Cricetulus griseus: one gene and its partners. The protein of the gene in region 2 interacts with the protein of the main gene of each other region in a pairwise test. Links are inferred from orthologs where the notes say so. Each region holds a gene or a part of one and is shown on either strand. Other genes may lie near its edges.

What was found.
Region 1: the proteins of Ccndbp1 (region 2) and Syf2 interact in binary tests that used the Homo sapiens proteins (3 or more experiments, as listed by UniProt). The link is inferred for Cricetulus griseus from reciprocal best matches to the Homo sapiens genes CCNDBP1 and SYF2.
Region 3: the proteins of Ccndbp1 (region 2) and Psmb10 interact in binary tests that used the Homo sapiens proteins (3 or more experiments, as listed by UniProt). The two-hybrid records come from large-scale screens. The link is inferred for Cricetulus griseus from reciprocal best matches to the Homo sapiens genes CCNDBP1 and PSMB10.
Region 4: the proteins of Ccndbp1 (region 2) and Pimreg interact in binary tests that used the Homo sapiens proteins (3 or more experiments, as listed by UniProt). The two-hybrid records come from large-scale screens. The link is inferred for Cricetulus griseus from reciprocal best matches to the Homo sapiens genes CCNDBP1 and PIMREG.
Region 5: the proteins of Ccndbp1 (region 2) and Nanos2 interact in binary tests that used the Homo sapiens proteins (3 or more experiments, as listed by UniProt). The two-hybrid records come from large-scale screens. The link is inferred for Cricetulus griseus from reciprocal best matches to the Homo sapiens genes CCNDBP1 and NANOS2.
Region 6: the proteins of Ccndbp1 (region 2) and Ampd2 interact in binary tests that used the Homo sapiens proteins (3 or more experiments, as listed by UniProt). The two-hybrid records come from large-scale screens. The link is inferred for Cricetulus griseus from reciprocal best matches to the Homo sapiens genes CCNDBP1 and AMPD2.
Region 7: the proteins of Ccndbp1 (region 2) and CUNH6orf226 interact in binary tests that used the Homo sapiens proteins (3 or more experiments, as listed by UniProt). The two-hybrid records come from large-scale screens. The link is inferred for Cricetulus griseus from reciprocal best matches to the Homo sapiens genes CCNDBP1 and PEX39.

Annotation. Positions count from the first base shown.
Region 1 is NC_048595.1:18,338,226-18,341,306, forward strand, and holds the end of Syf2 (pre-mRNA-splicing factor SYF2), read right to left. Parts: coding exon 2,993-3,081; intron 1,430-2,992; coding exon 1,264-1,429; 3' UTR 745-1,263; downstream 1-744. UniProt on the Homo sapiens protein: Involved in pre-mRNA splicing as component of the spliceosome.
Region 2 is NC_048599.1:57,429,402-57,433,947, reverse strand, and holds the start of Ccndbp1 (cyclin-D1-binding protein 1), read left to right. Parts: upstream 1-1,282; 5' UTR 1,283-1,370; coding exon 1,371-1,470; intron 1,471-1,598; coding exon 1,599-1,658; intron 1,659-1,902; coding exon 1,903-1,982; intron 1,983-4,546. UniProt on the Homo sapiens protein: May negatively regulate cell cycle progression. May act at least in part via inhibition of the cyclin-D1/CDK4 complex, thereby preventing phosphorylation of RB1 and blocking E2F-dependent transcription.
Region 3 is NC_048596.1:182,223,271-182,227,927, forward strand, and holds Psmb10 (proteasome subunit beta type-10), read right to left. Parts: upstream 3,214-4,657; 5' UTR 3,098-3,213; coding exon 3,042-3,097; intron 2,895-3,041; coding exon 2,807-2,894; intron 2,719-2,806; coding exon 2,621-2,718; intron 2,514-2,620; coding exon 2,373-2,513; intron 2,148-2,372; coding exon 2,032-2,147; intron 1,923-2,031; coding exon 1,864-1,922; intron 1,305-1,863; coding exon 1,153-1,304; intron 1,034-1,152; coding exon 922-1,033; coding exon of another isoform or gene 905-921; 3' UTR 855-904; downstream 1-854. UniProt on the Homo sapiens protein: The proteasome is a multicatalytic proteinase complex which is characterized by its ability to cleave peptides with Arg, Phe, Tyr, Leu, and Glu adjacent to the leaving group at neutral or slightly basic pH.
Region 4 is NC_048600.1:85,882,666-85,887,416, reverse strand, and holds the start of Pimreg (protein PIMREG), read right to left. Parts: upstream 3,183-4,751; coding exon 2,898-3,182; intron 1,297-2,897; coding exon 1,022-1,296; intron 609-1,021; coding exon 513-608; intron 1-512. UniProt on the Homo sapiens protein: During mitosis, may play a role in the control of metaphase-to-anaphase transition.
Region 5 is NC_048602.1:28,382,201-28,385,030, forward strand, and holds Nanos2 (nanos homolog 2), read right to left. Parts: upstream 1,211-2,830; coding exon 812-1,210; downstream 1-811. UniProt on the Homo sapiens protein: Plays a key role in the sexual differentiation of germ cells by promoting the male fate but suppressing the female fate. Represses the female fate pathways by suppressing meiosis, which in turn results in the promotion of the male fate.
Region 6 is NW_023276806.1:49,049,405-49,053,907, reverse strand, and holds the start of Ampd2 (AMP deaminase 2), read right to left. Parts: upstream 3,091-4,503; 5' UTR 2,494-3,090; coding exon 2,406-2,493; intron 1-2,405. UniProt on the Homo sapiens protein: AMP deaminase plays a critical role in energy metabolism. Catalyzes the deamination of AMP to IMP and plays an important role in the purine nucleotide cycle.
Region 7 is NW_023276806.1:256,187,415-256,190,617, forward strand, and holds CUNH6orf226 (uncharacterized protein C6orf226 homolog), read left to right. Parts: upstream 1-1,634; 5' UTR 1,635-1,734; coding exon 1,735-2,118; 3' UTR 2,119-2,352; downstream 2,353-3,203. UniProt on the Homo sapiens protein: May be a peroxin involved in the PTS2-mediated protein import pathway.

The DNA of each region.
Region 1 (3,081 bases), on a different chromosome or scaffold from region 2:
AAGCTTTAATAAATCATGATTAAAAATATTATTTTTTCTTTAAAAAAATTCTTTTTCTTAAAAAAATTATTTTTTCTTTAAAAAATAAGTCATGATTAATAATATATCACCACAGGATAAAGCACTTGCCATGAAAGTGTGAGGACCAGATTTCAGACCCCCAAACCCATGCAAAGCCAGACACAGTAGTGCTCATGTCTGTAACCCTAGCATGCCTAAGATGGGGCAGACAGGAGACTGTCCAGAGCTCACAGCCAGCTAGCCTGGAGTCCAAGGAAGGCAAGGACTAACATCAAAGGTTGTCCTCAGACCTCCACTCACACAAAGCACACCTGGGCATAGTGGTGGGTGCACACTTGGTAGGAGGATCAGGAATTCAAGATCACCCTCAGCTTAGTGGGGTCAAGGCCAGCTTTGGCTAGATGTCTAAACAGAAAAAAAGTTAATTTTAACAAGAGTAATGAGTCATCAATGGCATCTTCAAACATTAAAAGTGAAGTATTTGTGGAATGTGCTGAGTTCCAGGGTTGGTGTTTTGTTTTCTAAGAGAAGGTCTCACCTAGCATTTCCGCCAACAGGAGGAACCTTCTCTCTAGACAGTTGTAATAAGTTTTTAAGTTCTTCTCTTTCAGAGACATGAAACTGAGCTGACCCTCGCTCAGCCCCTATACTGAAACATGTAACAAATGTTCCCAAGCCTGCAATGCACACATGCACTTGTTTAAATTAGACATGGTTCATGACTCTATTCCAAAGCATTTTATTGTTCTTTAAAAACGGAATGTGCATGGCTAACAGTCATGACCTCTGACCCCAGCCCCAGCAGACAGTGCCAGAACCCCAGGAGCGTCTGTCTTGAGGCCTCTGTTTCTCTGTCCTCACCTGGCCAGTCCGAGCCCAACTGTAGCTTCTGTCCACTTCCTGATGACACCCAAAGCAGGAGCGACTGCACCTGCACACACGAACCATCTAAGCCCCAAGTGATTAAAAGGTTACACGGTTATGCACATTTACAATACATAGAAAAATAATAATTAGGATTTATACAAATTAGATTTTTACAAAACAACATCACTACAAGAAATACATTTACATTCAAGCACGAAAATGTGAACATATGTATGTGGGAGTGAAGCTGAGAAAAGACTTTTATTTCAGAATACCGGGTGGGGAGGGAGGCACAGGGGAAGCGCTCCTTTACTGGACACACATGAAGTCTGAATTTGCCAGCATTTTCCTGCTTCTGTGTAGTTTCCCAAGGGCTCACACAGCTGTTCCTCTCTCCAGGTTCTGTTTAATTTCTGCTGTGTACTTCCCGTAGAACCTCTCTGCTTTCTTGTTGAACTTGGCATTCCTCTCATTGATGTAGTCAATGTCAGCATCGTCATTGTAGGGTCGTCTCCGGCTGTATTTGTCTCGCTTTTCAATTCTGGGGGAAGGGAGGGAGTTAGGAGGTTCAGAATCACCTTCTCCAGACCTCTTCAAGCTCAAACTCAAAGATCCACCTGTCACTGCCTCCCAAACGCTAGGATTGAAGGCGCTGACCACCAGGGCTGGTCTAACTGCCTTCTTATTTGATCTTAAAACATGGACAAAAAGTTCAGCATTTATAATACAACACCTTCAGGGACAACAAAAAAAAAAAAGCAGGAGCAGTTTTCATCAGCTTCAGGTCATGATCTAATTAACAGAAGCTCAGTGTAAGCGACCCAGCAACTGCAGCCTGTGCTCACAGCACTTCTGAACACGTTAAGATCGTGGAAGCCCACACCTGTAATCTGAGCGATCAGGAAGCAGAGGCTGGAGGACAGCCACCTGCTGGAGACCAGCCTAGGCGATATAATGAGAACCTGTCTCAAAAATCCAAAACAAGGGCTGGAGAGATAGCTCAGAGGTTAAGAGCACTGTTCTTCCAGAGGTCCTGAGTCCCAGCAACCACAGGGTGGTTCACAACCATCTGTTATGAGATCTGGTGCCCTGTTCTGGTGTGCAGACACACATGGAAGCAGAGTGTTCTATACATAATAAATAAATTATTTTAAAAAATCCAAAATAAAAACAATGTTTCTAAAGATGCTAAAAATAGGGACAAAAAGTGTGACTCTTGGCTAAAGCCCCCTAACAATTCTATCAGTGATGACAAGCACTGTGCAGAGTGTGTGGTATACACCGCTGCATCCTGGACCATCTGTATGGTCCTAAAACATAAATGCAGTCCCCTCTATCAGAAACAAATATGGTTTGTTGCCTAGGGAGGCAGAGGCAGGAGGATCTCTGTGAGCTTGAGGCCAGTCTGGCCTACATAGTGAAATTCTATCTCAAAAAAAAAAAAAAAAAAAAAAAAAGTAATAAATATCGCCGGAGCGATCTCTGCACTACTTGAGTTCCAACCCAGACTGGGCTACATGAGGCCCGTCCTAAACAAACAGGAACAAAATGCTAACTATTAATTTGAATTGGAAACCTACCCCTGGCCTTGGTATTGAAGCCTGGTCCAGCTGACTGGGATACTAGAAGGTGACGGAACCTTCATGTCAGGCTTATAAGAGGCGGGTGGTCGCCTCTTGTAAGGGTGTGCCCTTGAAAGGACATCAGGACTCACCTTCTCCCCACCAACCTGCCGGCTTCCTAGTCGTCACGAGCTGACTAGGCCTCCCAGCATGCACTTCTGCCATGACCCACTGTGCTACCACGAGCCCAAGACAATGGACTGAGCTCTAAAACCGGGAGCCAAAATAAGTTCTCGGAGGCATTTTGCTCCAGTGACAGAAAGCTGATGGGCACTGTGACAGTCTGATTGCATCAATATTCCTATGGGCTTAGCCTGTTACTTGCTGTCCAGCTTCAAAACCATCAGATTTGGGGTCAGAAATGAGCTGGTGTCAGCTCTGTGATCTTTAAGTCATCTAAGAGTATCAGCCTTAGATCCACACCTCACCCACTCTCTCTTGTGAAATATGGAACATTCTAGACTGCCCTTCTGAGTACTTACTGCTTTTCCAGATCTAAAACCATCCTGTCAATTTCCTGTGAGGAAGGCACATGTGTCCCATGGAGAAGACTGTTGGATGTCGGGAAAAA
Region 2 (4,546 bases):
AGGGTCATCCTGTGAAAAGCATCCAGCCCAAGCCCGGAATCCAGAAGGTGTCCAGAGTGCCATTTTATGCCTAGGGAACCTGTGGAGACTTGGGCTGGACCTTGACCACTCTAGAAACATTACTTCCCAGCCTGTTTTCCCACGGATTATGGGTTTTCTGCTTCCTTAGTTGGGGCCGTTTTTAACTAATCAAATAAATGAATGAATGATAAATATCACGAATGTTGGGCTGGAAAAATAGCATGGTAGTTAAGAGCATGTACTTCACGCTGGGCAGTGGTGGCACACACGTTTAGTCCCAGCACTTGGGAGGCAGAGGCAGGAGGATCTCTGTGAGTTCGACACCCGCCTGGTCTACAAGAGCTAGTTCCACAACAGCCTCCAAAGCCACAGAGAAACCCTGCCTCGAAAAACTAAAAAAAAAAACAAAAAAAAACAAAAAAAAAAACATGTACTTCCTGAGTTCAATTTCCAGCAACTATGTCAGGTGGCTCCAGGTTAGAGCCTCTGTGGGTCCTTTGCATTCATGTGTGCACAGACTTATACATAGCATAATAGAATATAAATATTAAAAGAAAGATCGGGGCTGGAGAGATGATTCACTGATTAAGAGCATTGGCTGCTCTCCCAGAGGACCCTGGTTCAATATCCAGCACCCACATGGCAGCTTTCTATAACTCCAGTTCTAGGGAATCTGACACCCTCACACAGACATACATTCAGACAAAACACCAATGCATATAAAAATTTTTTAAAAAACTAAAAAGAAATACCACACGGATCTGTACTGTAGCTAAACATTGGAACCATGGTGTCTGGGGCTTGGAGAAAGAGTCACAACGGGGATGTCACAGGCAGACTTGCCAGCAAAAAACTCAAGACACATAAAATGGCAAAAAAAAAAAAAAAAAAAAAGTGGTCAGGTCTCTAGTAGGTCAGAGAACGCATGGCTGGGTCTTTAGAAGGCGTGGCAGGTGTGGCAGGGTGTCAAGGTGGGGTGGGGGAGAGGGGCAGGGCCGGGCGCCTGGACCCGAGTCCCAGTCTGTAGGCCTGCTGGGAACCGGCAGCCTGGTGAAGGAGGAGTGTCTGAGTCTCTAGGCCCCGCAGGGGAGCTGTGGGCGGGTCTCTAGGAAAGGGAGGCGTGGCCTGATCTCTAAGTGGATCGGGCAAGAGTAGGCGGGTCTGTAGGCGGAGGGAGGCGTGGCCTGACGGCCTGGCTGTCCGGGAAGGCGGGGTCGCGTCACTGAGGAGGAAGGGGCGGGGCGTGATGTGTCTTGCCGGAAGCGAGAGGTGTTTTCGGCACCGGAAATACAGCGGCAGGGGCCGAACGGCTTAAGCGTCCTAGCTAAGGTACGCTGTGAGACGCTGTGATGGCGAGTTCGGCAGCCGCAGCCTCCTTCCTTGCTCCGACTCTGGAGCAGCTCCGGCACCTGGCAGCGGAGCTGCGGTCACTTCTGCCTCTAGTGAGGGGTGAGTTGTGGGAATCTGAGGCCCGGGGCTCCGGGTAGGGCGGCGGTCGGGCGTCACGTCAGGTGACGTGTCTTTTGCTCACCTGTCTTTTGCTTTGGTGGTCCGGCCTCCCACGCTACACCCTCAAGTCGGCGAAGCCCAGGAGACAGCCGAGGAATTTAATCGAGAGATGTTCTGGAGAAGACTTAGTGAGTTTCTCTGCCGTTGCAGACTCTTCCCTCCTCACTCCTGCCTCCTAACCTCTTTCCCCTCTGTTGTCCCAAGAGGAGGTGACAATCCCTCCCGGCCTCGGGACGATTTCTGGAGTTGTTTTGGAGTTGTTTATGATGATAAGGGTGGAGAAGGGATGCGTTATCTTAAAAAATCCGTGTAGTGGTTGCAGCTTCCACCTTTAACACTAACTTTGGTATCCGCCGCCTCTACCACCCCCAGATGAGGCAGCAGTGAACCTGTCAGGGGAAGCCACGATTCTGACCACACTTTTCTCCCGACTTCCACTGCCGTCTCCACGGGTGAGCTTTACTTCCTGGGATTTGTGTGCTGCCTCTAGTTTTCTTGTCACCCTTTACCCTCAAGCCACGTTTATTTTCTTCATTTATTTAATGAGATTATAGTTCTTACCGCATAGGATTGTTGTGAGGACCAAATAGCCAAGTGCAAACGGTAGAAAGGTCTTTCAAATTCAGTCAGGTTAGTTCCTCGGAATTTTAAAAGCTCTTTTTGATTTATAGCTGTTTCTCATACATACTCCCCATCTGACAGATGAGCTAGTAAGTTTAGAGACTTGGATCAAGATTAATAAATGGTGGAGGTGGAGTTAAAAGCCTACAAAGTATCTAAGCAACAGCTATTGCACAATACCCTTTAGTATTAAACTGTTTACCTTTTTATTTAATTACTAATATGTGGATAAAGTTCAAAAGATACCAGAGTACACTAAAATACATGTATATATCTTCCCACCCCAGTTTATCTTTCTATTTCGTTCCCATTTCCTTCTGTATTACTCCATACAATTTGTTCTATGTATATATACATCGCTCTGTGTGTGCTTCTTTTTACACAGTGGTTAGATACTATAAGCATTGTTCTAGACCTTTTAAAAAGTAATATAGCTTAGAAGTTGACTTTTTTTTTTTTTTTTTTTTTTTTTTTTTGGTTTTTCGAGACAGGGTTTCTCTGTGGCTTTGGAGACTGGAACTAACTCTTGTAGACCAGGCTGGCCTCAAACTCACAGAGATCCGCCTGCCTCTGCCTCATGAGTGCTGGAGTTAAAGGCATGGGCCACCACCATCCAGCTAGAAGTTGATTCTTAATGACACATAAAAAAGTTGCTTAGTTCTTTGTAATACTTGATGTAGAGTAACTATAGCTATAAACAATAGCCCAGGTGGACATTTTAAACTGTTTCTAACTTGCAACTATTGTAAATGGCACTGTAGTGAATTGTCAGTTATAATCTTTGCATACATATATGTATTAATAGAAAAAAATTCCAGAGGTGAACTTACAGGAACAAAGAATTAATGCATTTTAAATAATCGTTTATTATGTAACCAAAAGTAAAGCTGGATATTGGCTGTGATCAACCAACATGTGAATGCCCTGTGCCATATTTTTCTAGAGCTACATGTACTTCAGAGTAGTTTATTTTTTTGTTAAATGTTTATTTCATGTCTATGAGTATTTTGCTTGCATGTATGTGCATATGAATTCTGTGCTTAGTATCTATCCATGGAGGCCAGAAGAGGGCACTGGATTCTCTGGAACTAGAGTTAAGGATGGTTGTGAGCTTCCATGTGGGTGCTGGGAACTGAATCTGGGTCCTCTATAAGAGCAGCCAATGCTCTTAACCTCTGAGCCATCTCTCCAGCCCAAAGAGTAGGTTATTTTATGACGACATAGTCGTTGCCTCAATTTTCATAGTAGTTTCAATAACTATGTATCCAGATGTTGTATTTTTGTTTATTTTTTCACTCACATATAACTATACAAATACTCTACTACTGAGCTACACATGCATGAATGTTTTCTTTTGGTTTTATTGGTTTTCTAGAGACATGGTTTCTCTGTGGAGCTCTGGCTGTTCTGGAACTCACTCTGTAGATCAGGCTGGCTTTGAACTTGGAGATCTGTCTGCCTCTGCCTCCTGAGTGCTGGTATTAAAGGTGTGCGCCACCACCTAGTATGAATGTCTTAATGTGATAGAAAGTTCCTTTTACAACATAAAATTATAAAAATACATACCCCTCTTTCCTGTACTTTTTGTTGTGTTTTTTTTTTTTTTTTTGTTTGTTTGTTTTTCCAGACAGGGTTTCTCTGTGTAGCTTTGGAACCTATCCTGGCACTTGCTCTGTAGACCAGGCTGGCCTCGAACTCACAGAGATCCACCTGCCTCTGCCTCCCTAGTGCTGGGATTAAAGGCATGAGCCACCGACGCCTGGCTCTTTTTGGTTTTTTGAGATAGGGTTTCTTTGTGTAGCTCTGGCCATCCTGGAACTAGCTGTATAGACCGGACTGGTCTAGATCTCAGAGATCCATCTGCCTCTGCCTCTGCCTCTGCCTCTGCCTCCTGAGTGCTGGTACTGGGATTAAAGGTGTGTGCCACTACTGCCTGTCCCCTGTGTATCTTAAAACAATGGTTTTCAAATTGTGGGTCACGACCCTTTTGTTACGGTGAGACAACAGGCGTCATAATAGCAGATATCTAGCATATCAAATATTTACATTATAATTCATAACATTAGCAATGAAAATATTTTTATGGTTGGGGCTACCACAACATAAGAAACTGTATTAAAGGGTCACAGCATTAAGAAGAACCACAGTCTTGAGCAATTTGGCAGTAAGAAAAAAAGATAAATTGTATGACAGCAAGCAAAGACGTAGTAATTGCCTGATTCAGTAGTTGGGCTGTATTCAACAAAAGACCAGGTGCTGAATATTTTAGGCTTTGTAGGACAACTGCTTAACTCTTCCCTTGTAATACAAGTACAACTGTTAGATGCTTGTAAATTAATGAGCATGACTGTGTCCTAGTAACACTCCATATATAAAACCCACCAGTGAGCCTAGG
Region 3 (4,657 bases), on a different chromosome or scaffold from region 2:
CTCTGGAGAATGTGGTTTATCCATTCTGAAGGCCCAGTGGAGCTTAGCTACTCTGAGAGCAGGATGTTCCCACCAGCACCCAGTGGGCCTGGCACTCAACAGGTGCTTATTTAGCAAAGGTTTCTTGTTAAATGTGTCATCTTTTCCCATGAGTCCATGACCCCTATCAGCCCAGAGAACTTGGAGTCAATTTCCCTACTCACAGCCCCACATGTGCAGACAAGCCCTAGCTTTTCACCAGTGGCTCACACATGCCTGGTCATCTGAGAGTGACATAAGTAGAGGCACTGTAGTGAGGAGTGCTTGGTGAGAACTTGCCCTTAGTTGCTCTATCAGCATTTTAGCCCCTTAGGATCCTGGGTGGACCTGGTGGCAGTAGGGGGTCACTGATAAGCCAGAGAAAGGCTATGAGTAGGGGCTGTCCATGGGGTCTTACAAGACGGGGGCGATTTGTGGGGTAAGCTTCTACCATGTGGAGTTAGGTTTGGGGATGATAAGATGTAGCTTTCCATCTCAAAGCCTGCTGGCTAGGCCTGGGATTCTGAATGGACAGATTCCTGAGGTAAAGATGAAGAGCAGGCCAGGAACCAGGCCTCAGGGTCCTTAGATACCTCTGCCACAAAGCTTCTATGGCTGCTTGTCCCACTCCTCAAGAATGAGACAGTCGTGAGCTCATTGGTTAAGAGCATTGGCTGCTCTTCCAGAGGTCCTGAGTTCAATTCCCGGCAACCACATGGTGGTGGCTCACAACCATCTGTAATGAGGTCTGGTGTTCTAGCCTGCAGGCTGACATGCAGACAGAACACTATATACATAATAAATAAATGTAAAATAGAAGAAAGAATGACACAGTCTTCTGTTTAAATGTTTGTATTTCCGGGGTTTATTCCCCCTGTACCAAGCTCTAAGTCTTAGGCCACTTTATTCCACCTCCATGGTCTGCACCGTTTCCTCCAGAAGCTCCAGGTTCAGAGGTCTTACTTCCTGGGTCAGGACAGCTGTGGTTCCAGGAGCAAAGTGGTAACGGCCAGTTCTAGAAGGGAGGAGGGCCAGCCTTTCAGCATGTATCCTGTCCTGTTCTGGAAGACCTCCCATTTGCCACCCTGGCTAAGACTGCAGTCCCCCTATAGTCCTCCCTCCCCCTGCTCCTACCTCTGCACTGGCTTTGTGGGAGAGCTCAGTGTCCTCAGCAGCTGGGCGCCTGTTGCAGTGATCACACATGCATCCACACTGCCTCCAGAGCCCAGGTCACCCAGGATCCCTGCAGTGATGGCTTCCACCAACAGCTCTTGTGCAGCCTCCAGCTGTGGTAGTGTGAATGACACTAAATGAACCTGGTGTTGTCTCACTCTGAGGATTTTGTTAATCTTGAAGCCTAGACAATTTGCCATTTGTGCAAGCCCAACCTCCTTTCCCTTCATTCCCTTAGCTTCTGACTCCCCCTCTCCCAAAACCCTGTGTTCCCTCCACCCACTGTCCTGTGTACAAACTTCTCAGTGTCCCTTACACTTATAAGGCCCCTTCCAGCAATCCTCCCACCCACCAATGTAGTCCTCTGTCACTGAGTTTCTCTCTGGGTCTTAGTTATCTCTATTTCTATCCCACTCCAAAGTCCAGACCTGAAACCTCATATACCACTGGGCTTTACCTCTTCCTTCCGTTAATGATCCTTTGTGGGCTTCAACTAACCAATCTAACCTTGATTCCCGACTGGACCTTCAACATTATTCAGTCCCTACTCAGGTGTTACCTTCTTCCCTACAAGCCTGCCTTATTTCTATATTTGACCAGGGTTTTTTTTTGGGGGGGGGAGGGGGGCACTCCCCACCTGTGAGCATGAAGTAATGGGCTGAAGTTGCTCACCGTCATGTTTGGCTGGAACCTGTCCTCCAACAGTGCCAAGGCTGCATCCTGTCCAGAGCCTGAAGGTGGAAAGGGACATCTGAAGTCAGCTGTAGCTGCATCTGGGAAACAAACCTTGAAGGTAGGATGGCAGGGGAAAGTTCGTGGGGAAAGGATGGAAGCACTCACCCAGGGCAGTAAAGGGCAGACGGCTGTAGGAACCGTGGGGGTGCACGCCATAGAGTTGAGGCCCGGTCAGATCAACCCCGCCCACGATCAGTGATGCTCCCACGTGGCCTTGGTACCTGTGGACCAGTGGGCGCTGATATTGCCAGCTGGTGCCAGGCCCGCCCCTTATGCCACTTCTCGATCTGAGTCCCACCCCTTCCTGTGACCTGGCGTTCTACAATTGCTTCTTCCGGAACTCAATTTTGGTTAGACCCCGCCTGGCTTCTTCCGGTCTCTCTTCGGTCCCCCACTCCTGTCGACCCCGCCTACCTGCAGATGACCCCTTCACCCTACTTCCTCACCGGAAGAGTGTCTGGCGCAGGATACGGGTGACCGTGGCCACCCGAGGCTCACGGCCGGTGGACAGCGCGTGTAGCTCCATCTTGGAAGCTGCCATCCGCGTGGTCATCTCAGTGTCCGCAGCCACTCCAGCCCCACAGCAGCTGAGGGGAAAGGGACGGCGGGTGTGGACAGGGATGTGCAGGGGCAGACTAGGGCGTGACAGTGCAGCTTTTGTTTGAGAGTGGGGGCTGGGCTGGGGAATTCTTACTAGATTTTGGGGGCGATGAAGTGGATCTTCTCGCAGCTTTTGTCCACCACGACCGAATCGTTAGTGGCCCGCGTATCCGCGCCCAAGATAACTCCATCCTGCAGAGGAAGAGCCCGGCCTTAATGCCCACCCAATATTCTCCACATTGGCGCCATTCTAGCCCTCCAGGCCTATCACCCTGCTCACTCGGAACACAAGTCCCGCGATGGTAGTCCCGGTTTTGCGTGCATGAGGGACCCGAAGGCCCGAGAGGACCTGTTCCAAGGACGCATTCCTGTAAACAATGGGGTGACTCGCATTTCAGCTCTGATTCTAGGGAGGATCCTTGAACCCGTCCCCAAAACACCAAAAAGAAAAAAAAAAAAAAAGGCCTACAGTTGAGCACCAGCTGCTCGAAACCAAATCTCCACTCCCCCTTCACCTCTGGCAGTTCTCGAAAGAGAAGCCTCCTCTGTGTTCCACTGCCTGCTTCAGCATCTCGGGGCAGGAAAGCCAACTGAGATCCGGGGGTCGATGGGTGGACCAGACGAACAGAGTGAAGCCAGGGGATCAGAAAGGCGTCTGCTTCGGCTTCTGTGTTTTTTTTTTTTTTTTTTTTTTTTGTACACTTCCCACTTTCACTTTCACCTCCACCCTAGTTCAGAGGCTAGTATGTTCTGTTTCACTTTCATCTTTTTCTTCTAGTCCCAGGTAACTTAAGGAAGTGCATGCTGTAACCCTGGCCAGGATGGTGCTCCTCTGTTCCTCCATTCCCATCTCATCTGACACCCTGCCCCCCCTCCATGTGAGCACTGCAAGTACATGTAGATATGCAGGCAAAACACATGCACATACAATGCTTTAAAAATAAGTATAAATTGCCGGTCGTTGGTGGCACACGCCTTTAATCCCAGCACTCCGGTGGCAGAGGCAGGTGGATCTCTGTGAGTTCGAGACCAGCCTGGTCTACAAGGAGCTAGTTCCAGAACAGCTTCCAAAGCCACAGAGAAACCCTGTCTCGAAAAAAACAAACAACAACAACAAAGTATCAATTAAGTCCTTTTAGGTTTAATTATGTTTATGAGTGAATGTGTCAACATGCATGCTAGGGGCCCACCAAGGTCAAAAGAGGGCTTCATGAGGGTACTGGGAACCAAACCCAGGTCCTCTTCAAATGCAACCAGTGGTCTTAACTTCTGAGCTATCTCTGAAGCCCCAAATTAAGCCTTCTTTAGATGAATTGTCATTCCTTCAGATCCTAAACATTTTTCTTTTTGGTTTTTGAGACAGGGATTCTCTATGCAGTCCTGACTGTCCTGGAACTCAATCTGTAGACCAGGCTGGCTTGAATGCAGAGATTAAAAGCCTGTGCAATCACTGCCTAGCTCTAAACTTTTATTTATTTATTTATTTATTTATTTTGAGACAGGGTTTCTCTGTGTAGCCCTGGCTATCCTGAAACTAGTTCTGTATACCAGGCTGGCCTCAGATTTACAGAGATCTGCCTGCCTCTGCCTCCCAAGTGCTGGGATTAAAGGTGTGTGTCACCACTGCTCTGATCTATTTATTTTTATGTGCATTGGTGTTTCAACTGCTTATATGTCTTTGTGAGGGTATCAGATCCCCTACAGCTGGAGTTACAAACAGTTGTGAACTGCCATGTGGGTGCTGGGAATTAAACCTGTGTTCTCTGGAAGAGGAGCCAGTGGTCTTCTGAGCCATCTCTCCAGCCCCTAAATGCTGGCTATGGAATCCCAGAGCTTACTTAAAAAAAAAAGAAAAACAAAAGATTTATTATAGTGTTCTGCCTGCATGTATAACTGCAGGCCAGAAGAGGGCACCAGATCTCATTATAGATGGTTGTGAGCCACCATGTGGTTGCTGGGAATTGAACTCAAGACTTCTAGAAGAGCAGCTCTTAACCTCTGAGCCACCTCCTCCCCCCTTTGGTTTTTCAAGACAGGGTTTCTCCGTGTAGTCCTAGCTGTCCTGGATCTCACTCTGTAGACTAGGCTGGCTTTGAACTAAGATCCACCTGCCTCTGCCTCCCAAGTGCTG
Region 4 (4,751 bases), on a different chromosome or scaffold from region 2:
GGATGCTTCCTGTTCTGAAGGCATCCCAACCCAGACTAGACAAGACCAGAACCTGGAAGCGTGGTGGGAACATGGCCACAGAGGTCATATGGACTCAGAACCCTTTGTGGCCATTATACAAATGGGAACACATTTTTCAAAGGCTCTGCTTCCAGGTTGGAATCCTGAGCAGATAGATCAGGGAGTCCATGTTACTTTTGCCAAGTCCATGGGTAGACAGGGTATAGAGGAGTCACAAAAGGTATTGGAGGAAGGGAATGTCTCTCAGGAAGCAGGCAACCACCTAGCCACATGTGAAATTCAATGTGATAGGCAAGGGTGAGGGTTCAAGGCCTGGAGGACTCATAGTGCATCCTCCACCATCATCCCAGGAGACTGAAGCCCAGAGGGACAGGGACTGGTCTTGGTCATGTGGCAGATTGGTGTTGGAACCAGAACCCTCTCTAGAAATACAGTATGGCTCAAGGGGCCCATGGCCATTTCACCCTGATGCACCCCAGGATGCAGCTCACCTCTCTTCAGCCTTGATGGCTTTGTCCAGCTTTTGTGACAGCTTCTGGAGATGCTGGATTCCAGCCCCCACAGGCTCTAGGTCACTGTCAGACTCACTGAACACAAGAGGATGCAGGGGTTAGCAAGAGCCCAGAGCAGGGGCCAGGCAACCCCGGGTGACTGGGAAAGCCTCACTAGAGCCTCACTGCAGCATGTGACATGCAAACCTGTGAGGCTGAGCCATGGAAAATTATTTTGTAGTCAGATGACGGTTGCTGCTGGCCTTGCACCAGTGCCTGGGATTTCTAGATGTTTCCTATCTAGAATGGAGTAGAACTCATCTCCTGTCCCTTTCACAGGTAGGGAAACAGTTCTGGAGAGGTTTTTTCCCCTTCAGGTCCTCACTAGCTCTGGGGCAGATCTGAGCCAGAACAGGGATATGACAGGTCAGAGTGTCCTCACCCTAGGTAACACTGAGGAGACTTGTGGGACAGAAAGGGAAATCACACTGGGCTCGGAGACTACTTGCCTGGGAGAGCAGAGAGGTTCTGTGGAGGAACAGGGGCTCTGGAGGGCAGCCTCCCTCCTTAGCCGATGACGTCGATGGGCATGTGGACCCATCTGGCCAGAGAGGCGAGGATGTCCCCCGACTCTGGCATCCCGGTTGGCCCTGTATAGCCGAGTGTTCTTCTGGCTCAGACTGGGCGGGGATCCTCTGTCCTTCTGGGCTCCTCGCTTTCTCCTCACTTTGACCTGTGTTTGCATTAGCCACTTGGTGCCACTTTGGCAGGACTCCTGGATCCTCTGTGATGGGTTCATGTGGGAAGGTTAGCAGAGGTTAGCAGAGACAGGACCAAGGTGGGCTGCCAGCCTTTTGCTATCCCTCCATCCTAGGGTCTGTCCCACTAATACAGTCTGCTGTTAGTCTTAAGAGTGAGTATGATTCCCTATAAGACCTTCCCAGAGGCCCAGCGCAGGGACACAACAGGTAGTCGCAAGAAGATGGCTCCACATTTGAAGCCCTCTGGGAGAGACTAACCCAGACAATGAGGGAGGTACAGTTTCCTGACTACTGGACCCCTTGCCATCCCCCTCTGCTCTCATTCCTTCTCTTCCCTCCTCCATCTTAGTCCACACAGATCCTTCAATGACAGTTCTGATCATAACCCCTTCTATGGCTCCCTATAATCTACAGGGCCGAGTCCCAACCCTTGGATCTTTTACATGTGGCCTGATCAAACAGTTCTGCTTAGATTGCCTTTGTCTTGGCAAATCAGAGCCCAGAGGTTGGAGCAAGGCCCAAGGTAAGTTTGATGAGTTGGGTGACCTTAGACAAGATGTCACATTTCATTGCTCTGAGCTATATTTGTTGAAAGCAATCTTAGGGCTCTTCCAAGTCAGAGCTAGACTTTGGCTAGGAGGCCTCTCTGTAGCATTGCCAAGAGCCTCTGCTCTCTCTCCACACCACCAGAATGCCCAGGGAGATGCCCCCCCCCCCCCGCTTCTCTCGTTGCAGGTATTCTCATTTTCATAGCTGCTGCCCTTTCCAGGGCACACCTGCCCGCATCTTCCACTCCAGGGTTAAAGACCTGTGTGGGGTCAGTGAGATAGCTCATCAGGTAGAGGTTCTTGCCACCAAAATTTGACAACTCGAGTTTGATCCCCAGAATCCACAAGGTGGAAGGAGAGAACGTACTTCTGCACGTTGTTCTCTGACCTCCAGACGAATACCATTACGTGAATTCTCCTCCCATAAATAAACGCAAACATTTAAATAAACATTAAAAAAGATGTCTGCTCCTGGGCACACTGCACCCAGACACCACCCCTCAAATCTGCCTCTGAACCGCTCAAGAAGTTGCACCCTTCTGCAAGCCCTGCTCCTCTGCCTTTTCCCACCAAGTAGCTGACAGCCAAAGTGAAATAAGTAGTCTGACTGGGAGAATCTAGACAGGGGTCATCACACACCATCCCTGTCCCCACTCACTGTGACTTAGTCCTCACACCAAGGCCACTTCAGCATCCAGGCTGGACTCACACCATCCTCCTGGTCCTGCGCCTCCATATACCGCCCCTTTCCCGAGTTATCTTGGAAGTCTTTATTCTAGGGAGTCTTTATCCACTAAGCTTGAGACTGGCATCTCTTTATAGTTAGCCATTTCTTGCAATTTCCTCTCATAGGGCACAGCAGGTTACCTTGCACGGAGAGCATCAATTTCTTCCATGAGATTTCTCACTCACTCACTGATTTGTTGGAAAACTATTATGTGCCAGAATGACTGAGGGTGTTGGGGGAAACTGCCAGGACCTAATCAAACTCCAAGACCCCACTGACTCTATATTCTTGGGGCCTTCCTGAGGATAGCACACTTCTGTAAACAAATGGCTAGTGGTGTCACTGTTACCTGGGACATAGCACCCAAAGCACTTTTGGCGGAACGAGCTGCAGCCTGAAGACCCTGCTGCTCTGGCTCTGGGGTTTCCAGGCGTTTCCAGGAGGGGCCAGTGCCGAGGTTGAGGCTGACAGCTCTCAGTGGCAGCCTCCTTTGGAACTGTCTGCACAGGGAGCCCAGGGGACCAGTCTCCTGATGGCCCTCAGCAGACCGGGTCACCGTCTTCTCTAGATGTTCCTCTTTTAGGAGTGATCTTCTGCGCATGGAGGCCGTCATGCCCTGCCACTGAGACGCCATGTGCTTGGTCCAGTCTCCTCTGCTGGTTAGTTCCTGGAGAGGTCAAAAGGTCAACAGAATACTCCCTGGCCCTATTTCCCAGGCGTCAGAGACCCTGGGAACTGGGGAAGGGATGAAGTGGAACATATCTGGGTGGGCCTGTTGCGCAATTGTGGATGCCAGAAAGATGACCATGGCGTCATGGTCAGCAGCTGCCTCGACTGTAAGGCGGCAAATTGTCTGACTTCCATCCCAGCCTCCTTCACTAAGGCTCAGCGGAGAGGCACAGAGGTTACCGAGTCTCGGCGCTTATGCAGGACACCATCAGCAAGCGGCTCTTTCACAAATTCGTGCTCCTCTATGGAGCAGACTCTGGCCACCCCGCCAAAGCCTCGAATCCGATAAGGTGCTTTAAATTTCCAGACACCGCCTTTGCGTTGCGGGTCCTGTCTAGAGCTCCTGGCCCGCTCCGCTCTCAGAGCTGCCCGTGAGTCCCCCCCGCACCCCGCCCCCCAAGCCCTTCGATGTCCCCGTGCGCTCACCTCCCTTTCTGATACCGGGGACCCGAAGATCAACACCCGCTCCTCGCCCACCGCTGCAGATTTGAAACTCCGCGCGGCCCCGCCCCAGCCTGGTGCTCGCAGCCCATTGGCCCTATCAGCCCTCCGCCGCCACCTCCCCTGAATTCCGATTGGTCTGTTTCTCTCGCGACCATAAATCGTGCTTTGGGATTGGCCGGGCCACGCCCATACATCTCTGGGGACCCCCGCCTGGATCGCAGCAAAGGTTCCAGCAGTCAGTCACCGCCCAGTCCCCTTGCCACCTCCCAGTGGTCGCGCTTTGTCCATCGCATGTCCAGGCCCTTCCCAGAGCCTACGGTCAGGCTGCTCTGCGGGATGCTGCGAGAGCGCAGGTCACGGCCACCCAGGGCATCCCTTCCGTCCTTCACCCCACCTAACTTCCCGCATCCAGTAGTTTTGTAGAATGTTCGGCTGGGACTGCCGAACTCTGCGTTCCCTGGGAAGTTTTGTTTCAAATTCCCCCGCCTGAACCTCTTCCTTCCTGAGAGACCGCCCAGCCCCTGTCATTTCCTCAAACTCACCACCCGGCTGGCACCCAAGAAAGCACATCTCAGAGGAGGGGGCAGACTGTAGAACCACCTCTCCACCCGTTAAGTCAGGTCCTCCGCTTGGTCTTGCCCCAGACATCTTTCCATCTTTCCCTTAGTTTCCCAGCAAGCTTAAAACAACAACAACAGCAACAACAACAACAACAACAACAACAACAACAACAACAACAACAAACAGCCTGCTATGATTTCTCCCATGTACCAGTTTTTATTTTTGTTGTTTTGATGTTCTGCTTTTTTATTTATTTTATTTATTTTTATTTTTTATTTGAATTAGAAACAAGATTGTTTTACATGACAATCCCAGTTTCCTCTCCTCCCTCCTCCCCTGCCACTCCCCCCCCAACTAAAACCCTACCTATCACATATCCTTTCTGCTGCCCTGGATGGTGAGGCCTTCCATACGGTGTCATCAGAGTCTATTGTATCCTTTGGTATAGGGCCTAGGCCCACCCCTTTGT
Region 5 (2,830 bases), on a different chromosome or scaffold from region 2:
AAAATTAACATCTAAGCAGCCACCATGTTCCCACTGGGTCTCTGACTCTTTGGCTGCGGGACTCACATTGACTTAACGAAACACTCAAGTAACAAGACTGGAGGTGGCAGATGAATCTCTCACTGGGAGAAGGATCCATCAGTGATGGGTTTGGGGGCAGGAGGAAGTGAGATGGGGTCGGTGATAAAGTAGGGGGAGCTGTGGGCTTCAGCTCACTTGAGGCAGCCTGAAGCTACAAAGGCCCTGCAGCCTTCCAAGAGGGTTCTGACCCTCCTGCAGTTCCTGCTGGACTGGCATGTTCAAGGAACTGAGGGCTGAACTTGAATGGTCCCGTGGAGAAACCCGAGTCTGCAGACGCTGAGGAAGATGAAGATAAATGGTCTCACAGTCAGTATGAACATCAAGTCCTTAGTAGTGGCGGTCCCAGTCAGTCTCTGGCACTGTTCCAGGATTCTGACAACTGACACACTGGGATTCTGTAGGGTGGAGAGTCCAAGGGTTTCCCCCAAGGGATCTTCACCAGGGATCTGAGAAGTCAACAAGGCTAGCTCGGTTGTCATCAGCAGGCCGTCACAATCCAAAAGAAGCCGCCAAGATGCACCGTCCATGGAGAACAGCTCTCACAGCGTCAGGAATCTCTGAGACAGGTGGACTGGGCTGCCTGCAACCCCCAATGTCTCAGGATCCTAAAGATTTAGAGAACAGTGGGATCTAGGAACCCCCATAGGGCTGGGTGAGCAGAGGGGAGGGTACCAGGGTCAGAGGAAGGAGGGTTTGGGAGTGTGGGTGATAGGGGCCTCATGGATCTTACTTAACGCTTGACTTTGCGTCCAGCGGAGTTTCGTACACCTCGACGGTAGAGAGACTGCTGGTTGCTGTTTAGCGGACAGTACTTGAGCGTGTGAGCCTGGTCCCCAGTGGCCCCACACAGAGGACACACATAATGCCTCAGGATGGGACACACCACGACACCTTCAGATGTCTTCAGCTGGTGGGAGGCATAGACGTGACGAGACTCTCCATTGTGTTTGCAGAAGTTGCATAGGGTAGCCAGGCTCCCGTTGACCCCCTGCTCACTCTTCTCCTGCCTGAGGGTAGACACCTCAGCACCCTCATCCTCCAGTCTTTGGCTCCGGCCCTGGATTATCGCCAGTATCACTTGGCTCAGGTTAAAGTAGTCCTTCCACCTGTCAAAGGGTGGCAGCTCCATGACACCTCTGTGTGGCTGGTGGCCGTGGGCACTAGGCAGGGCCAGGGGGCCAGGGACTGTGAGGTCAGAGGCCCAGAGCAGCAGGCTGTTGTGGAGCAGAGAGAAGGCACACCCCCTTATAAATACTCCCCTAGAGCCCCCTCTAAGCATAGGTGGGGCTTAGATTTAAAGGGCCCACTTCCAGCCCAGGGCTCTTGGCTAGCTCCAATCTCCCAGGGAGACGGGAAAACTGCTTATTTGCAGGTGGCCCCTCCTCCAAGGCACTCTGTGTTTTCTGGACAGGAACTTCTAGTCCGTGGGCCTCAGTTTCCCTCCTGTTCAGTTTAGGGCTTTGCTCGTGTCTCTTGCTCATTCTCCTTTCCTTCTTCCCTCGGAGTCATCCAGAACCTTATTTATGATTTGACTGAATGTTTTGGTTTGGTTTGCTTTGGGTTTTGGAGAGAGAGTCTCACTACGCATCCCTGGTTGTCCTGGAACTTGCTACGTAGACCAGGCTGGCCTCAAACTCAGAATCTACTTCCCCAGGTGCCAGGACTAAATAAAGGCGTGCACCATGTCCAGCTTAATTTTTTTTTTATTACCTGTATTTACTTAATAGTGGGGGCATGCCACAGCTTACATGTGGGGATCGGAGGACAACTTGCAAGAGGCAGCTCCTTCCCCCAAGTGGATTCCAGGGACCAAACTTGGGTCGTCAAGCTTGGTAGTAGGCCAAGCTGAGCCATCCGCACTGGCCCATGTGGGTTTCTGTTGTGTTTGTTTTTATTTTGAAACAGTGTTATGTCTTGTTACATAGTCCATGACCCTGAATCTCCCATTCTTCAATTCAGGGCCTAGGAACAAGCTTCTGTGTCCTGCTTCAGTCTTGAGAGTCCCGAGTCCTGAGACGACAAACCAGGGCTGGGCAGTCTGCTCAGTGGTAGAGGGCTTTGTCCCCAGGTGGTTTGCCTGTAAACCCCACACTTGGGAGGAGCAACAGTAAGGATCACGAGTTCAAAGCCAGTCTTCGATACTTGTAGCCAGTTTGAGGCCAGCCTCACCTATAAAAGCTTCTGCCTCAATTGACAGAGGCCAGACACGGCTCAGCAGTTAAGGGTGCTTAATGCTCTTACGTATGATCCAAGTTTGGTTCCCAGCTCCAAGGTCAGGCAGTACACAACCTCTCTGACCTCTCTGTTACCCGCACTCATGTGCATATAGAGATGCATAATTAAGAATAATAAGCTGGGCATTGGTGGCGCACGCCTTTAATCCCAGCACTGGGGAGGCAGAGGCAGGCAGATCTCTGTGAGTTCAAGGCCAGCCTGTTCTCCAGAGCAAGTGCCAGGACAGGCTCCAAAGCTACACAGAGAAACCCTGTCTCGAAAAACCAAAATAAATAAATAAATAAATAAACAAAACAAAAATTACAGCCCAAATCTAGGATGTATTTCCAGAATTCTCTTTTGAAATTGCTTTTTGAGATGTAGCTTGGGCTAGCCTGGAACTCCTGCCTCACTTCCCAAATATTGGAGGGACTGGCATGAGTCACTGGGCTTATGGACCTAGTATGCTTTTTCTTTCAACATTTGTGTGTGTGTGTCGAATATGGTTGTGTGTTGTATATGTGTGTTTGTATAT
Region 6 (4,503 bases), on a different chromosome or scaffold from region 2:
ACTATGGACTCTTGAGGAGAAATAAGGCCTTTGCTACATGCAGAGGCTGGCTGGTAGTTGGACCACTGGCCTAATCTGGGTAGGAGCTAGTTACAGAGGCTTCTTAGCATACAAGCCAGTCCCAAGTCCATTATCAGGGTAGGGGCAAACTACTCAGGAAGAGTAACTTGGAACATGGGAGCAGCATTTGGAAAACACATAGGACTCTACTTTTGTTTATTTGCTTGCCTTAACCTCTGGACAGAGGCTATAAATGGGTGAGAAGTGGCCTTGTCCTATCTGGCCACAGCCCCAGGACTCACAGGGGAATGATCTACAAGAGTTCTGTAAAGCTTAGGACTCTGAGCCCATGGGGCTACAATCAGAAATTCCTAGGACGCTCCAAACACTTAAATGGAGACCCTTCATTGAGGAGGGTGAGAGGCCTTCTGAATCCAGTGTAGGGGTAAAGGCTGCTAAGTAGGGGAAAGCAGTGAAGAGAAAGGGATATTGTAGGGGTAGAGAGGCTCTCCCTTGCAAGAAAGAACTGGAGGAAGAGGCAAAGATCAATACCTACCCACCCAACCTAGGGTTTCAAGTCTTTGATTATCAAGAACCTAGATCATAGGCCAGGCAGTGGTGGTGCATGTCTTTAATTGCAGCACATGGTAGGCATATCTCTGCGCTCGAGGCCAATCTGGTCTACAGAGCAAGTTCTAGGACACCACACAGAGAAACAAACAAACAAAACAAACCACCCTGATCCTACCTATGCTCTTAAAGACGGCTCCAGACCATTTGGGGGTTTTGTTTTCTGTCTTTTGCATTCCTGGGACCACCTGAGGCCTTGTGTGTGCTAAGGAAGTCCTCTACTACCGAGCTATATCCTCACCCTTTTCTAGTTTTACTTTCAGGCAGGCTCTTACTAAGTGTCCAAGCATACCTGGAACTCATGATCCTCCTGCCTCAGCTTCCCAACTAGCTAATTACAGGTGTGCATCACTACACCCAGCCACCAACCACTTCTAAGTCCCTGAAGGTAGACCACAGAGCTGCAGAAATGAAGTTAAAAGCCCTCATTTTAAACCCTTTCCTGTCAGGTAACCCTGGGCCTACAGAGCAGGGCTGGGTGAGCAGGAAGGGTTCCAGCAGCCACAGTCATCTTCCTAGTCTGCCACACAAAAGCAAACAACTGCTAGACTCACCAGAGGTGACACACCAGCAACAACCTCCATACTCCCTCATGCCAGATCCCGTCTCCCTGGTTCAGTGCCAAAAGTTGGCATCACAACATACATATGATGATACATACAGCCCAACGCCAAGGGGGGATCACCCCATCAGCTCCAAGATTCTGGTGCCTAGTCCTTCCTCTTGACTAGCCCCTCACTCATTATCAAGACTGCCTCACTAGGCCTCAACCCCAGGGACAGGATGCTCTCAGGGTCTAACCATCTAAGGGTCTCTAGCTCAGCAATAGAGTAACCAGCACAGAACTAGCTCCAGGGCATACACCCGGAAGACTCAGATCCAAACACACAGTCTGAGACACAGATCTGAGCACACAGGTCAGCACAACACAAAGCCCTAGCCAAGCATTTTTGGCAGCATAAAAACAAGCTAAAGGAGGGTAGTCAGGGTGTAAATAGAGCTATGAGGGGTTAACAACATCCAGTCACCAAGGCGTTTTTCTTTAGCCAGAACACTTGAGAGCTGCAGACACCCACACCCCTGGAAGCACAAGCTCAAGTAGCTAAGTCCTCACCAGGATGGACACTCGCCACCACACAACCAGTTGCAAATGGTGCGGAGATGCCCACATAGTAGGAGCCAAACCCAAGGGTGCAAGGTACACAGCCCACCAGACATCTCAAGGGCTGCCGCTCTCCTGAAGAGGCTCACAACACAGACCAGGAACAAGCAAACAGCAAGGATAGTAGCAACGGAGCCCTACCTCTGGTGTATGTGCCAGCAATGCATGACCCCAGATGTCACTCACCGATGAGGGAGTTCTAGATCTAGGGCCTTGGAAAGAGTAACAACCTGAGCCTGCCTGCTGTAGGCACAGGCACCAAACAGGGTAGCCAGTCCGCAAAGCAGTCATCAGTCCCACACCCTCCCCACTTCATTCACACACTTCACACACAGTCTCAGCATCTGCACAAGCAGACACGTGTGCATATACGCCTCTTGTGCACACACATCCACACCCACTCCTTGTTACGGAGGGCAGCATCCCTGACATGGAAACCTCAGACCCCCCCCCCACTCCCTGCGCCACCCAACCCAGTCAGTCAGCCCTAGAACCGAAGCAGAGAGGCATCACTGCAGAGAGGGTGCTGCAGAAGGGGGCCCTCTCTGAGGCACTAGGTGGCCTGGACAGGAGGAGATGGAGGAGCCCCATGCCTGAAGCCAAGAACACTTACCTGGAGCAGCAGCGGAAGCTTGCAGGCTGGCCCGCTTCTTAAAGGGATATTTGGCCTTGGACTTGCCTGGGCCAGAATAGGATGCCATGGCTGGGGCCAAGGCTACAGCGGAGGAACCTCACCAGCTGGGGCCAACCTCTCTCACATCCAACCCCTTCCTCCGCCCCGCCCCCAGCGGGAGTGACTGATGCAGGAAGCAGCGCCCCGCAGGCGGAAGAGGCCCTGGCCACGATTTCTGATGTTGTCTAGGCAACCTCGGGGAGTGGGGCCTCCATCCTGCCCCTTATCCCTCCCTTCCCACTCCAGTCCCTAGAGTGACGTGACTGATGGTGGCTGGGACTGGGGTGGGGGTGGGGGCGCAAAGAAAACAGATGGAGCAGCGCCAGCTCGCAGCTCTGCACCACCCTCACCCCATCTCCGGAACCCTCATCCCTTGCCAAAGCTTCAAGGCAAAGAAGCCAAAGTCCAGGCTAGGCTCAGCCAGAGAGAAAAATAATAAGAATACAGCCTGAGCTTCTCCAGCCTCAAAACCCATTTCCTCCAGGGAGAGGGCAAGCGTACTCAAGAAAACCCAGAGCCTCGGGGGCAGAACCCACTCTTTTCTTCTCCATCTGACCCCAGCTCTAGGGACAGCCCAGGAGAAGGAGGCTGAACTGAGAATTCGAGCCCAGAAGGGAGGAACCTGTCTTGGGAAAATTCCACTGACCGGCAGAAGCTGGAAGTCCTCCTAGGAAGACAGGAAGAGCCGGAGGCAGGGTCTTGTTGAGGTCTGTGGGAAAGACCCCAGGCTCCTCTGCTTGTCTCTCTGCCCGCACACTCAAGGTCTGCTTCCCTAGACCTTTCCAGGGTCTGCTCACACTCCTAGCAAGACCTGACCCTCTTGTCACCCGGACAAGGCACCTTTGTCCCGGGATCCCTCTAACGCCAACACACGCGCCACACGCTTACCTGAGGCCATACTGCCCGAGTCCCGAGTGGTACCAGGGAGGCTGCCTAGTCTACACCGCGGGGAAGCGCGGCTGAGGAGAGGAGAGGGCCCCACAGGGGCGAAGTCGCGCCCCTGGCCCCTGCACCCGCACTGAGGCGGGAAGGAAGGCTGCTTCTCAAAATGGCCAGCTGGACGAAGGCGGACTCCCACGGGCTTCAGCTGCCAGACTGACCTCAGGAGACCCCGGTGTCGCGACCCCCAGCCCGCACTCAAGAGGAAGCAGGCCACGTGCTCCACAGAAAACCGAACCCGGAATTCGCCTAGGGTTCTTTCACTAGTTTCTGGGAATCAATTAGAGATCCCAATCCCGTGGCGGGGCCGTGGGGCAGTCGCGCAACAGGTGCGACCCCGCCTAAACCTTCCCGGCTGCGCGCCAACCTCGCTTGCCCCAGGCCCCGCCAAGTCTGCGGTCACGCCCCGTTCGGCCACGCCCCCGGCCCTCTGGCCACACCCCCACCATTTTCCCTGTTTCCTTAACGCCACGTGGGCGCCACCCCGGCCAGGGTTGGCCTGGCTTGGCCCTTCCGTCTTGGGCGGCTTCTGTGGGTCAGTTTCCTCATCAGTAAGATGAAATAAGGTAATGATAGTGTCTCATTCAAAGGACTTACTGAAGATTGAATGTAAAGTCCCTTTGCACAATGCCTGGCACAAGTCAGGAAGCTATTATTAGGGTCCCAGAATCCATTTTAAGCAGAAGCCCTGCCCTTGCATTCCCCGCATTCCCACCTGAGTCTGTTTCCTTCTATTAGCCATTGGCCCTGAAGGCTGGCTTCCTCATCCCACGTTAGTTTCTATGTTGAGGTTAGACGAGCCAGAATGTCTAGGTTCAAATTCAGGCATCGCCACCTACTTCCTGACTGGCGCTGAAATTCTCGGTGCTATTTCTGTAAAATGAGTATCTGCTCTATATGATACTGGTGAAGATAAGTGAGTTAATTATAAGTGCTTAGACCTGTGTCTGGCCTGTAAGTTACTACCCAATCAGTGTTCATGTAACATTGCTTTGGTCTGGGATCCTTAATGCAACTCATTGACTCTCCTTGTGGGTTAAGTGTTTGCACAGGGCCACAGCCGGCCCTCCCAAACCAGCATTCCCATATTCAAGGGCCA
Region 7 (3,203 bases), on a different chromosome or scaffold from region 2:
GTGTGTGTGAGACCAGCCTCTGGGGACAGGAGCAGTAGGAGAGGAAAGGGATGGATGGAGGGAGGGAGGGTGAGAAAGAAACAGAGAGAGGGAGAGAAAGAGAATGGGGAGTGGGGTGGTGGTGGTGGTGGAGATAGAGAATGGGAGGTGGGCAGGGCCCTTTTAAAAGGGAACAACGGAGTGAATACCCACAGGTGGCATATTCACTAAATGCTCTTAGTGGCTGCAGCTGAGGGCATACCCTGTCAGGACCTCAAGGACAGGCCAGTACAGAGGGAGGCGCCTCCGAGGAGGAAATGCCTCCTTGAGATCCAGCTGTAAGGCATTTTCTCATTTAGTGATCAATGGGGGAGGGCCCAGGCCATGGTGGTGCCATCTCTGGGCTGGTACCCTCTGGGTTCTATAAGAAAGCAGGTTGAGCAATTCAGGGAAAGCAAGCCAGTAAGCAGCACCCTCCATGGCCTCTGCATCAACTCTGGCCTCTGGGATGTTGCCCTGTTGGAGTTCCCGTCCTGACTTCCTTCAGTTGTGCACAGCGATGCGGAAGTGTAAGCTGAATAAACCACAGTTGAGTTTTAGTAATGGTGTTTTGCTGAAACAATAGAAACCCCAAGACACAGGGGATCCCCAGAGCAAACTGGCTAAAGAAACAAGCCATATAAGTTCTGGGTTTTTGTGAGAGGCTCTATGTCATTAAAGTGGAAGAATAATGTAGAATGATCCCTGGCATCCACCCCACATGCATGCACACTGTGTGTCTTCACACCACACATACACATGCGCGCGCGCGCGCGCGCGCACACACACACACACACACACACACACACACACACACACACACACAGTTATTGTGAGTTCAAGGCCAGCCTTGGCTACACGAGACCATGAAAAAAATCTGAGGCAGGGGATAAAGTCTCACAGTCCTACCTGCTGAGCCATCTCACCCACTTTTTCTGCTTTTCACCTCGTGAGTTTCATAGGGTTGCTTACCGAGAGGGGTCCTTTTAAAATTACTTTAACTAACTTTAAGTAACGCTAGGCGTTACTTACTGATTCCTGGGGTGTTCCTGATTAATCTGTTTGTTGATTATTTATTTACCTCTTTCAGCACGTAGCACAGGATGGTTCCATGGTCCCAGCATATAGCATTACAGGCACGGGCCACCGCATCCTGTCCAGGCTAGCTTTGATAATTTCAGAAACCTGAGCCTCGGAGTCAGGATGTGCAGCTCAGCACACACTGTGGGAGATGGTGAGAGTCCTTGTCTCAAAACCAAAATAGGCGACAAACACCCAAACAACAGTGAAAACAAACAACAACAACAAACAAACAAACAAACCCCTGGGATTTGATCCTTAGTACCACAATTAACAAAAGAAATGTGAAGAGAATGCGCGCTCGGGAGAAGCAGACAGATCACAGCCTGGAATACAGAGCGAGCAAATCCTGCTGTAGCTAGCCTGTGAGCGCAGAAGGGAAGCGTGTTTTTGGAGCCCCGCCTCAGCACAATTGTTGTCCCACTGGGCACAAACTTCAGGTTTTGACTGGTCCTTTTAATAAAAAAAAAAAAAAAGAAAAAAGAAAAACCCTTCTAAGTACATGCCACTTTGTAGGATGAGAGCTGGGGCGTTCACCCAGCCTGCAGCTTCGGCAGAACAGCTCAGGTTCTGGAGATCTAACCTGGGCTAGACTACTTGGTAAGGTTTGAGGCCTCCCCTCTTCCTTCCTCGAAAATGGTTGCTCCCACACCGCCCGGAAGTACTCGTGGTCGGGTCCCGGGAGCGGACTGGTGGCGGGACATGGAGCTGCGGGGTCGTGCCGGCAGTCCAAGCGGAGCACTGGCGTCCCCGGAACCGGCTCAGGCCTCGGTGACCCTGGCGCAGCTGCTGCAGCTTGTCCAGAAGGGCCAGGAGCTCCCGGGTATAGAGAAACCTCACATCACCGTGATCCCCGGCGAACCCACGGCGTCGCTGCTCCCCCGGAGGCCCAAGCCCTGGGAGGACGCGGGCTCAGCCGCATCATCCCACACCACCGCCCTAGACGCGTGCGCGCCATCCCCGACCGTCGAGGAGCCGGCCTGCTCAGCCCAGCACGGCGGAGGCCCAGCGGGTTCCTGAGCTCGAGGGCTTTTGCAGCCGTGATCCAGAGGGCGTGACTGGGTCCTGCATGAACCTGAGGGTCTGGACAGCTGCTAGCTTTACTCATCTTTCTGCATCTGCTGTGATTTGTCCCAACCAGACCCAGTCCTCCCGGGAGACAAATGTTGCCCAGGAATTTCGGGGTCGGACGCCGAGTTTCAACTTCATACTTGTAATCTGTCTGCAGAATTGAAACAAGTCTATTTTACCACCTGCGGTGTCTCTTTCATTTGCCACAGTAACGGGCCATGACCTCCTGATGACACTGATAAAGTGAACTGGAGGGCCAAAAGCTAATTTTGGCTACTACTAATTTTGTAGTTATTTGGGTTTGATAGAACTCGGTTCTGAAATGATGCAACTGAAATCCTTATTTTGTCTGTTTGACTTCTGAGACAGGGTTTCTCTGTGTAGCTCTGTCCATCCTGGAGTTCACTCTGTAGACCAGGCTGCCCTCTGTAAACTTCCCATTTTATTTAAAGTTGAATGGCAACACAGCCCTAGAAACCCTGGATCTTGGAACCTGCTACTCCTACCACGTAGGTCCCAAAAATCATGCTCTTGGCCTGGCAGGGTTACCTACTGCCACCCTCAAGGCTGTAACAAGAGTTAGACACCTGGAGCTGTCAACTGCCACGTGGGTGCAGAGACTCACAACACCAATGCTCTCCATCCCAGCCCCTTCTTAAGACTGTTGTCAGATGGTGGGGCTGGCGGAAAAGGCCCTAGCCACTGAGCCATGCTTGGGCTCCTGAAATCTTTTTTTTTTTTTTTTTGAGACAGTTTCTCCACATAGCCCTGCATAGTGTTCCCTCATTCAGTACAATACACATGGAGTGTTCCTCCAAGCCTGCAATGCAGTTTTTTTTGTTTTTGGTTTTTTCGAGACGGGGTTTCTCTGTGGCTTTGGAGGGTGTCCTGGAACTAGCTCTTGTAGACCAGGCCGGTCTCAAACTCACAAAGAGATCCACCTGCCTCTGCCTCCCGAGTGCTGGGATTACTGACATGTGCTATCAGCATGGGCCTTGACTCATATTTCTCAGTTTCAGTGAGCCAAGGTTATA